Linked DNA regions of Drosophila melanogaster. The protein of the gene in region 2 interacts with the protein of the main gene of each other region in a pairwise test. Each region holds a gene or a part of one and is shown on either strand. Other genes may lie near its edges. The genes, in order: CG5721, CG1307 and CG15459.

What was found.
Region 1: the proteins of CG1307 (region 2) and CG5721 interact in a two-hybrid assay, tested with the Drosophila melanogaster proteins (one large-scale study listed by BioGRID).
Region 3: the proteins of CG1307 (region 2) and CG15459 interact in a two-hybrid assay, tested with the Drosophila melanogaster proteins (one large-scale study listed by BioGRID).

Annotation. Positions count from the first base shown.
Region 1 is NT_033778.4:18,181,887-18,185,898, forward strand, and holds CG5721 (uncharacterized protein), read right to left. Parts: upstream 2,205-4,012; 5' UTR 2,105-2,204; coding exon 1,988-2,104; intron 1,933-1,987; coding exon 655-1,932; 3' UTR 549-654; downstream 1-548. Other genes in the region: nopo (no poles), read left to right, coding at 1-191, 254-493; CG33958 (uncharacterized protein), read right to left, coding at 2,900-3,055, 3,279-3,589, 3,756-3,879.
Region 2 is NT_033777.3:6,655,378-6,659,226, forward strand, and holds CG1307 (uncharacterized protein), read right to left. Parts: upstream 2,066-3,849; 5' UTR 1,960-2,065; coding exon 1,771-1,959; intron 1,517-1,770; coding exon 1,145-1,516; 3' UTR 653-1,144; downstream 1-652. Other genes in the region: Taf1 (TBP-associated factor 1), read left to right, coding at 1-418; twr (twisted bristles roughened eye), read left to right, coding at 2,652-2,720, 2,791-3,050, 3,626-3,803. UniProt on the Drosophila melanogaster protein: The natural substrate for this enzyme may be peptidyl-tRNAs which drop off the ribosome during protein synthesis.
Region 3 is NC_004354.4:20,411,752-20,415,493, forward strand, and holds CG15459 (uncharacterized protein), read right to left. Parts: upstream 1,831-3,742; 5' UTR 1,747-1,830; coding exon 1,690-1,746; intron 1,521-1,689; coding exon 669-1,520; 3' UTR 590-668; downstream 1-589. Other genes in the region: CG15458 (uncharacterized protein), read right to left, coding at 2,083-2,211, 2,274-2,336.

The DNA.
Region 1 (4,012 bases), on a different chromosome or scaffold from region 2:
AGCGCATCGAAGAATCCACCTCCCCATATCTCAACATTAAATCCAGCAGCGTCGGGTTGGCGCATCTTCTTAATACTAAGGGTAACATTGGGCTGGCCAAGTCTAAAATATCGCCCATCAAGGGAGTCGGTGGCGGTGTGTCTATGACCAGCGGAACCATACGGAAAACCAGCAGTGATCTCAGTGAAAAGGTAAACGCAATAATTTTGCCGAATTCCACTTAACCATTTAAAAATTCCGTATATTCCCCCAGTATTCAATCTTCAAGAAGCCAAGACTGCTGCTGGGAAGTTCAAGTAGTTCTGCGTTGACGGCCACGACGGGCTCAAATTTTGTCTACAATGGAATGGGCGGTTCTGAGAAGGTTGACCCCTTTGCGCAGCGCGCCGAGGAAGAGGGTCTTTCCACAATCAGATCCTCGACCGCCCTTTCCCGGAATGTCAACCAGCGTCTTAAAGCCGGCTCGCTGCGCAACTTTAACCTGGGCAAATAAGTCCACAGCCATGTGATCATAAGAGACTGCCCCAGTTGGGTATTAGCACGCGATTGGTATTGAGGATTGCCGATTTTGTTAGTTAGCCAATGCATGAATTAAGCAATAGTAATAATTTAGCAGTAAATATATAAAAATACAAAAGGCATATGTGTGTGCGATTAGGCGGCAATTTTTTTCTCCGCCGTGCCCGTCCATTCCTCGCGCAAGTGGACACTACAGCCGAGGTCGCGCAACGCCGCCTTGATGTCCTGCTCCACACTGGGGTGCTCCTTCATTGCCATATTTAGTAGATCCTCAACGCCGAAGGAGATCCAGGTTTCACACTGGTTCCGCGACCGTGACACCATATTGCGGATGGCCCACGCTCCGTTTCGCTGGACTATCTTGTGTTTGGGATGGGCGCGAAGAGCCTCCACGATTACTTCGGCGATGCCGGTATCGAAAAAGGCGGCACTGTGTTCCTGCACTCGGAGTGTCAGAGTAGTCACGCAGGCCAAAGCGGCGGCAACGATGTTTTCATTGGACTGGTGCGTCTCTAGCAATTGCTTTATTATAGGAGCCACGCCCTGCTGTACTATATGTGACTTCACGGAGTCTTGGCCAGCCAGGGCACGTAGCAACTTTAAGGCCTCTCTATTTAGACGCACCTCATCCAAATTCGAACTCATGATCTCGAAGACGGACTTCAGTCCACCAGCCTCGTCGATAGCTGTACAGAGTTCCTGACGCACAGCCAGTGTTCCAATGGTCAGCAGAAGATCAGCCAGAACATTAGGATCCTGATAGGCCGGCAAAAGTTCCACCAAGGTGATGAGCACCTCGCCTGCTATTTGGCGGGCGTGCTCGTGGGCGCATCCAAACTCAACGCGAATGTCATCATCCAGCACTAGGAAGCGGAAGACGGCGGTCAGTTCACGCACCAGGCGGTCCTTCCCTTTCCCTAAAAGGGGCTTCATGAGTTTGAGTGCGGAGGTATTCATGATATTCTGGCGGTTCATTTCATGCATGATGCAGGCCTTCTGCAGCCATTGAAGAGTCAACAGGGTGACTTCTTCACTCTCCACTTTGAGGGCCAGTAACTTGAGAACCACGGCCATCGCCTCGGCATCAAACAGATCCGGCTGCTTGTGGGTCAGGCTGTTGATGGCTTCCAAGGACTTTTTTAACACGGATTCGTTGGGTGACTCAGCAGAGAGCGTCTCCTCCAACAGGGTGATCAGGGCATCGTGGGCTCCATTTTTGCCGGCTAGAACCCTATGGGCTAGCGACTTTTTGCACTCAGCATCCAAGGTGGCCAGCTGTTCCAGCAGCTCCGTTGTTTCCTCCAGTTTTTGGCCAATGTGCTCCTTGATCTTGTCCACCGTTTCGTTGATGACAGGTTGGCCGGTTTGCGGATTGACGGACAGGTCCTTGATAATGTTGGCCAGGTTGATGCCCTGCAATCATTTCATTAAAGTGAATCTACTGGATGACTATGTCGACATTACTTACCTGTGCCTCGAATTGCTTGATGGTCTCTTCTTTCGCCTCCGAAGGAGTCATCGAGAACTCCACAACGTTCTCCTTCACAACATCGTCGAAGGTGTCCTGCGATATAACCTTGGCCATGGCAGTGATTCGTCCAATTTTGGCTATGCCCTCAGCAGCTGCAGCTTTAACTTTTCAAATTTTACTTTGTTCTCTCTGTAACTTCCCACACACACACACACGCCCACACGCAGGCACACAGGCACAGTTCGAATTTAGTGGCTGCGGTCACACTATCGCACTTCGCAGGGCGGTCATACTTCCAGCTGATTTACATTCGATACATATCGTTGTACGGTTTAATAAAACTCACCATTGAACACTCAAAAAAATTGTTGTATTAATACTAACACCGAATTTGATAAAAAATAAATTATAACCTTATTTTATAACTAAAGAAGTGAAAGAAAAGATTTTAGGTTTCTTTATATATGTCCCATCACTGTGGTTGGAAAACGAATGGTAACAATGTATTTCTCGCATATTTTTTATTAACATAAGTCTGTATTTTGGCCGCATGCTTGTGATTTGCACTGTGTATTACATGTAAAAAGACGATTGGCCATTGAAGCGTTTAAAGTTGTTGTACACGATGCATCAGTTGCACTTCCACTTTTTTTCAAGGAAGTGATTTAATTATTATATTTTGAAGCGAATTTAAAATTAAGACGAATTTTATGTTGTATATTTTATCTACACTTGGTGCACCGTGTAACTTCAACTTTTTGATAGAAAGGAAAGATACTTAGATATTTAAATAGAGAGATTGAGAGAGCGGGACACTAATGCATGCACATCCAAAAGAAAAGCACCTCGAATTTATGGCCAGGATAAGCATTATTTGGCCTAGCCGGAAAACTTGCAGTTGGTTGCATCTCATTTCCGCTTTGGCAGCTTGTAGTCGGTTGGCGGATGCAGCTTCAGGTGGTCAAGAAACACGGGCTGTATGTCCGCCCGCCACGAGATCTCCTCGCGAGCCCTAACCGGTCCGTCCTTGCAGGTCAGCCAGTAGGTGCTCATTAGACCCTTACCCTGAAAATGAAACAGTTTGCAGGTTCACCCAACAAAAAAAGTTGTTTTAAAAGTATGGAAAAAACACGGTACACAAAAAGCTATAGCGAACTAATGGGAGTTAAAAGGAACTGAATTATACTAAGGGCTAACGGTAATTTACAAACATTACTCATACGCAGTGTAAACATCTTAAGTAGAATCCTCAAGGTTCGTAAGAATGATTTTGATCGATTGCAAATACCTTGACATCGATGAGGCCGCGGTGTTCGGTACGGAATCCGCCCACCTGTTGCAGCGAGTCGTGCATCTCCTCGGTGATATGTATCTTCTGCGCCTCGCCGGTGCTCTCCATCCGCGAGGCCGTGTTCACCGTGTCGCCGAAGAGGCAGTAGCGCGGCATTTTGGTGCCAACGATACCGGCGACAACCGGACCCGTGTGCACACCGCATCGTATTTGAACAAATTCGTCTCCTGCCCGGGGAATCCGGAACACCGACGAGGCGTCCAGCAAATCAAGGGCCATTGTTGCTATCTCGCTGATGTGCTTGTTCCCTGCAGAGGCAGCGGGTCGGAAAGTTCCATGGCATAAATTACGCGCATGGCCACAAATGAAATTTAAATTAGCGCAAATCTTTTTGGGGCAGTCAAGCAGTGGGATGTTGCCGGCGGGCGGGGTTTAAATGACTGAATGACTGACAGCTGAATTTGCATAAATTACCGTTCTTCACCGGCAGACCCGATGCCACCATATATGAGTCCCCAATCGTCTCAACCTTATAGACATCGTAGCACTCGATACGCTCGTCGAACACCCGGTAAATTGAATTCAAGAAGGTCACCACCTGAAAGTGTGAGATGTATCTCTCATTAGAGATAAATGTCAAAGGAATACAAATTATACCTAAATACAACTAAAGTTGAATGTTAGTTACAAGATATGCTTAAACCAAAGTTGATTAGCAAAATGATATGATG
Region 2 (3,849 bases):
TGCCGCTTCCGGTGCAGACTTAGGAATGGACGCTTCAATGGCCATGCAAATGGCGCCGGAAATGCCTGTCAATACCATGAACAACGGAATGGGCATCGATGATGATCTGGATATTTCGGAGAGTGACGAGGAAGACGATGGTTCTCGAGTGCGTATCAAAAAGGAGGTCTTCGACGACGGGGATTACGCCTTGCAGCACCAGCAGATGGGACAGGCAGCATCGCAGTCGCAGATATACATGGTGGATTCGTCCAACGAGCCCACGACTCTCGACTACCAGCAACCACCGCAACTGGACTTCCAACAAGTGCAGGAAATGGAGCAGTTGCAGCACCAAGTGATGCCACCAATGCAATCAGAGCAACTGCAGCAGCAACAGACGCCGCAGGGAGACAATGATTATGCCTGGACTTTTTAGTGATAGGGAATAATTGTTAGTTGTTAGAAAATAAAACGTCGATTTAATAATAGGATTGAGCTTCGCTGTGAAACAATTTTATACACTTTTTACAATGCATTGTTTTAACGGATTTTGAAATACTACAATATGTTCTCTGAAAAAATATTTCCTTTTCATGCCAATATGTTTTTAATTATACACTTTACAATTTATGAAATCTAATTCAAAATATGTTTTTAAAATATAATTTTCATAACTTTAAATAATGCCTAGAAACAAACAAGTGTCACCATTACTTTTCAAAAGACCCTGATATTTTCTGAAAAGAAATAGACCAAATACTGTGGGAAGCTAGATATAATCTTAATGAGTAGACACATTTCATTTTTCAAATATATGTTAGTAAAGGATTTACCAAAACACAATAGTTTTGGAAAAAGGAAATACTCTACAGGGACTTAATTACTTGAGCTAGGATTTTACCACTTGAACCCCTACAAAAACGCTTCGGAGCTTTGCAGTTCCAGGCCGGACTGTCAATCGTTTAATGTTTAATAGCTCGGTTCACAGTTAATGTAATAACGTAAATCTTAGCTTAGCTTGCATGTCACAGTCGTCCTCCACCCGGTGGCCTTAATCTTTCAACCGCTCCACCGGTGCGCCGTATTGCTTTGTGAATTGTCGGGTTGCACTTGAGTGAATTAGTAATGCCAATGGCCTGTGAGAGTTTCCGAAGTGCGGATCTTACAGCAATTTCAGGTGGCCGGTAACCCGGTCGATGTCGGCGGCAGCCGCTGGACCCACGGCCAGCACAGTCTTGGAGTTGGCCTCTATTTGTGTGCGACCGGCGTCGCGGATGAGACACGTGTTCAGTTGCTGTCTCTCGGCCTCCTTCTTGATGGCCATCAGCTCCGCCTCGCTCTCCACGCGAACGGCTATCTTGGCGCAACCGCAGTTCTCCCACGACCGCAGTAGTCGAGGCGTCCTGACCACCGCCCGCTGGTAAGCACCCACCGCTCCGTGGCCACACTGGGCGGCAATTTTGCCCTTGCCCATCTTGAGATCGTTGCGCACCACCAGGACCATCTTAAAGTTGTCGTTCAAGCCTCCATAGCCCTGCAATGTTTAGAAAATTAGCGTTGGTATTATATTATTATAATGTGTATGTGCTATATACTTATGTTAAAAAATCATACTTTAAACTATGTAAAGTAGGACTTTTGAAAACTTCTACCGTACAACAAAAAATGGCACTGCTATTATTGTGACCCCAAGTGTATGCGTTCAATGATGCATTTGGGTCTACAACAAGTTCAGAGTACTAGGTGGATTGGGGCCATTGAATGCCTACCGAGGGCTTTCCTTCTCACCTTATCCGAAACTGAAGCCTCGGAACCGCTAGACACCGAAGATTCCTGCGAGAACGGGGTCGCCGCTCCCTCGGTGACGGAGTCCTTGGCATCGCCTCGCTTCAGGGCGTATCGGTAGCCCACGAAAAAGGACAGCATCACAGCCAGCCCATTGATGATCTGCGTCGGATCCAGCAACTTGTCGCCCATCTTTCTCCGCTTAGTTGATATTATATTTCGCGAGAAAACACCACCGATGGCGCTCACTTCACGTTTTCGCTTGCGGTCACACCAATTGCGGAAAACGTTACTGTCAAATTGTGGTGGCAGCTCGCTTATCGATTGCTTGGTGTGGCAGCACTGTAGCGTATGGGATACTCTTTAATTTTTACCGTTAACTCAGGAATATATTTAAGAACTATTACGAACGCTATTAATTCGAATTTTTGCCACTACGATATATATTATATAATATTACTATGTATTAATAAAGGTTAAGATGCCTCTAATGTGCGCAATTGGTAAGTTATAGGAATAAAAATGGTGATTTATAGTACAGAGTGACCTTTAATCTTAGAACTTCTGAAACATTTATAAGGTAAACACGAAGACCAGAATAAAAGACTAACTTGAACCAACGCCGGGAATTAAATAATGTTTATACCCAAAAAAAAAAAAAGTCACAAAAGGCGGGAGTTTTTGGGAAACAATAGTGTGACCGAACAATAGTTGCACAAAGATCATCACGCACCCGTCACACACCGTCTGGCAACTCGGCCTAAACATACGTGTCGGAAATTTTCTGTCTTCGTGGACGAAGCCGAGAAGTTTTGTTAAGGACCTTTTCAATTGCATTTAAAAAGGCTATTTCCTCCACAAGCACCGCAATAACAGCCGCAGCCATGGGCGTAGCCAGCATGTTGCAGATTGACGAGATGCTGGGCGACTTCAACAGAATGAACAAGCGTCAGGTGAGCAGCGCCGCTTCTCCGGGCAATGCACCCATATATCATCCTGATTCGTGCCCTTTCCCTCCCGCAGTCGCTGTACCAGGTGCTGAGCTTCGCCATGATCGTCTCCTCGGCGCTGATGATCTGGAAGGGCCTGATGGTGGTCACCGGCAGCGAGTCGCCGATCGTTGTCGTGCTCAGTGGCAGCATGGAGCCGGCTTTCCACCGCGGCGACCTCCTCTTCCTCACTAACTACAAGGAGGAGCCGGTGCGCGTCGGCGAGATCGTCGTCTTCAAGGTGGAGGGCAGGGACATACCCATTGTACACCGCGTCATCAAGCTGCACGAAAAGTGAGTTTCCTGGGGCTACGGATATGGAAACCAATCCCAGAAAGCGTCTTTAAGATGAATGGGGCATGATGTCGTACTGGGTGCTTGCTGTTCAAGTAGGCATTTTAACATCTCTGATCGGTTAGGTGGAATGAGCATCATAGTTTCTAATCGCCAGGGGAAGGAACTAAATTAGTGCCACTTTTGTGTAATGCTATTTTTTTAACTATTTGAAATCCTTGTGCACATGAAATGTTATGTAAATTTGTGGACCTCCCTTAAGCTCGTTTATGAGAAGGTGCATGGAACACAGTGGCTAGTAAAAGTTTTCCTACAGCAGTGAAGGCAAAAAGGAATTACATATTTTCTAAAAGGGATTGAAAATAGCTCACATGCCGTATGGAATAGATCATTTTTTATTTTAGATACAATTTGTAGTTTTAGGACACGTCATTAAGTTAAGCTTGTGTTTCGTTGTCTTAAAACATTGTTGTTTTATATTTAGTCACGGGCCAAGATTCCTTTTTATTGTATTCTGTATGATTTCCTTTTGGTTTGGTTTGGTCCCATATAATCCCAATCAATCTTTTCTGCAGAGAGGACGGATCCGTCAAGTTCCTGACCAAGGGCGACAATAACAACGTGGACGACCGGGGCCTGTATGCACCCAACCAGCTGTGGCTGACCAAAAAGGACATTGTGGGCCGGGCCAGGGGCTTCCTGCCTTACGTGGGCATCATCACGATCTTCATGAACGAATATCCCAAGGTTAAGGTAAGTTGAAGGACGTTTGTGTTTTTTTTTCGCCACTAAGCCCGAA
Region 3 (3,742 bases), on a different chromosome or scaffold from region 2:
GTATAAACATATATTTTAAATTAGCACTTGAATCGGAGCAAGACGACGAATCGAGCGAGAGAGAGAGAGAGACGGCAAGCGAGGGAGAATGAGGAGAGAGAGAATGAGAGAGCGAGAGAGAGAGAGAGACGGCGAGAGAGCGAAAGAATCGGTCGATCGCATAATGAAACCAAAAAGCAAAACGTTAAAGTTATTTCCATATTATATTATATATACATATAAATTTAAATATAAATGTTAGTTGAAGTCCACTCATAATTAAACACAAGGCTTAAACGTTAGACGCAACCCAATTGAATCCAATCCAATCCATTCCCATCCATCTCGAGTCCGAACCCCGCCCAAAACAGTTAATAAGCTACGTAATTGATATTGATAACCCCGAGAACACAAAGGGGCTAAAAACGTTTATAATGATGATCTATTTAAAAGTTAGATGCCGCAAAGAAAACTCTATCTGAACTAAACGGAAGCTAAATAAAATACTTTATAAAGCAATTGCCCCCCGTTTAATTTAGTATCTTGCAACGACTGAAAGAAATGGATCCACCCGGGGGCGCCAAGTAATGGATTGTTAAAGCATAATGCTGAGATAAAGAAGTTCTTCGTATTTATTTTAGACTAAAAATTTAGCAGATCTCTTGAAGCCTACGCCCAGACCTAGCCAACTACTTTTCATCGCTGGTAAAGGACAGGCCGGAAGTGAAGCCATCGCTGAACGCGCTGTACTCCGCCTGCTCCTCCGCCTGCGGCTGGTCGTCGGCCTGTTCCCGGCCCAGTTCCTCCGGCTGTCCCGAGGCGTTCTCTTGGCTGCCTGTGGGCACGCAAGAGCGCGGTGCCGTGCGGCGCTTTAACGGCGTCTCATCGTCCTGGCCGTCGTCACGTTCATCCTCGTCCAGCTCATCCCGCGAGACTTCCACTGCGGCTGCCTGAGCTGGGGAATCGGAAGCGGTGCCGCTGGTGTTGACCGCCGCATTGCCCAAAACGGCTCCCACGACTCCTCGCAGCACCCTGTAGAAGGCGTCGTGCACCTGACCCATCACTTGGCTAGCCGGACGCACTTGCTCCGCCTCGGGCTGTTTATACTGTTGGTACTGGTTTGGCGGCTGAATCTGCTGGCCTCGCGCCCAGCTGCTGTGGCTGCTATGCTTCACGGCTCCCTCCGCCCGACGCTGCGGCTCCTCGCAGGGACACTTGCGCCGCGGAGCAGAGCCTGATCCTCCCGATGTGGGCGGAGGTGGTGGCGGCGGCGGATCGTCGCGACAACCATTGTCATCCTCGCCCGCCGCCCGGCGCTGCTGCTCGCGATCGAACTCGGTCATGGCCCGCTCCGATCGCTCCCGGCAAACGGAGCAGTCGGGATCCGCGCCGTAGACGCCAATGTCGCCATTGAGGGACGACTCGTGGTCCGATTCGCAGCTGCACTTGCCGCTGGCCAACTCGCCGGTCTTGCCGGATCCGCGGCGCAGCTTGTACACGATGAACAACAGGGCCAACGTGGCGTATGTGGCCTTTGCCACCTGCGAAATGGGTCATAGTATATGTATTTGTAAAAAATGTATGTAAAAAAATGTTAAATTAATAATTTTGAATTTCAATTTGGAGCTGAAAATAATATTTTGTGTCCATCAACAGCTCCAAAGCGATGGTTCATTTTATCTTGTGTGCGTTCAATAGAATCACTCTTACGTTAGCGCGTCCATTGATGGTTGTCCCATTGAAGTACTTCTTAAAGCCGTCGGCCATTGCTACTGGACTGGATCTGGAGATCTGGAGATCTGGATTTGGGGTCGGGTCCGGGTGAGAGCTGAGTGTGTTCTGCCTATAGCTCCGAGCGAGAACCTAATGACAAGCAGCGAAGTGCAAAGCTCGGCCAACTAGATTACAAAGTCGATTCATTGGCAGGATTCGATTTTTATTGACTCAACGAGGTGGTACATGAGTTTGGTCCCCAAGCCTTTAACTGTGGCATCGAGGACCGGAAAGGGGGTGCTGATTATAAATAGTTATGGATTGCTGACGGGTCGAATGGGTCGGAGCGGTGGGGAGCCATGACTTCAATGATTTGGCAGCATCGGCGCCCTAGCCATGGAGCATGGCCTGCTGGCAGCCCTTGCAGTAGAGCTTGGTCTCGCGCCGCTTCGTGTTGCGGCGGTGCATCTTGACCAGGACGTAGACGAGTCCCAACGAGGCCCAGGTGGCCTTGGCTACCTGTGGGTTTCGGTGGCGTATTTGGGCGCATCTTGTGTACTGCCGTGTACTGAATCACTTACATTGGCGCGACCACGCATGGTCTGGCTGTTGAAGGCTTCGTTGAAGTTGAAATGATCGGACATCTTTGGATCGTTGTTGACCGGATTGGCGTGGCTTTTAACAAAAGATTAAAATTTGGATTCGATATTCGACCTGTATTTTAGACCGGGATTCGGATTGTGACTTTTAAACGTTCGAAATGAAAGGAATGTTACTGACAGTCGTCAAAGCCGACTCGGGTTTCCCAACTAGAGAGAATGCTGAAGTCTAGTACCGACTAATGGGATACCCATTAATTACTGCTTAAATACTGTGATGAAAATTGAGATATGCAAGAGGCAAATCGAAAGTTTTGGACATTTTCATATTGTACCTTTAACCAACTTCAGAATTCATTGAGCTAAATACCATTTACAATTTTATGAAATTTTTAAGCATGTTACAGCTATAACTATTTTTAAACCAGTTACTAGATTCGTTGAAAATTGTATGTCACACAGAACTTCTTGCCATCCTGGTCGGAATTAGGATCACTAGCCAAGCCGATATGGCTATGTCTGTCCGTATGAAAGTCTTGGAATCTGATATTAACATCGCATATCGATCGACCATTATATATCTAATATATCCTCTACAAATGTATTTTATCACCTAGCTAGCATGTAAACATTCTGGCCTATTTAGCTGTACGCTTCAGTTATGCTAATGCAAACATAAGCCTTTTGTGATATTATAATTTACATTTATTATTTATTGCAGTTAGCTTTATCAGCGATTTGGGCTCATGCCACACGCAATACTACTTATTTCAACGTCATCAGTTGTACTAAATGCACAAATGAAATACATTTCGCCAAATAAATGCCAACTTGCAACTAATTTGAATGCTAATCAAACCGAACTACTCATTTGCATACAAGGTAATAGGTGGTTAAAGTGAGTGTAATGGACTTACTTAAGGGGTTACAAGGCTTATATTTAAAATGCCTGCCTTGTAATTAAATTTTTAAATATATTGGAAAAAAATGGCCACTTGTTATGTGAGTCTCCAGAAAAAAAACAAAAAAACAGCAACCATCTGGTATGCAAAATATCTGGTGGTAGCAAAATATCTGGTGGTATCTGGTGGACTATCAAAATATAAAAACTTTTTTTTCCAGATAGTATATCTTAAAATCAGCATCTTGAAGGAGTATATGTAAATAGCAAACTATTTGTAAAAATAGATTTTATTTTATAATTTTTTAAGATATATACCAAACATTATTACCGATTGTGATTATCTTTACATTGTTTGACCTCAAAACGGAAAACTGGATGCGCGGTATCCATGCGACCCTAACTCTGGAACCGATTTTGGAACCGCCCCGTTAGATCTCAGATTGAAACCTTATTTGCATTCGCATGATCGCTGATGAACACTGGGGAAATGCGGCCCAGCAATGGGATTGTCAACGCATCTCGGCCAGAATCGCGCCTCGCATGCCAC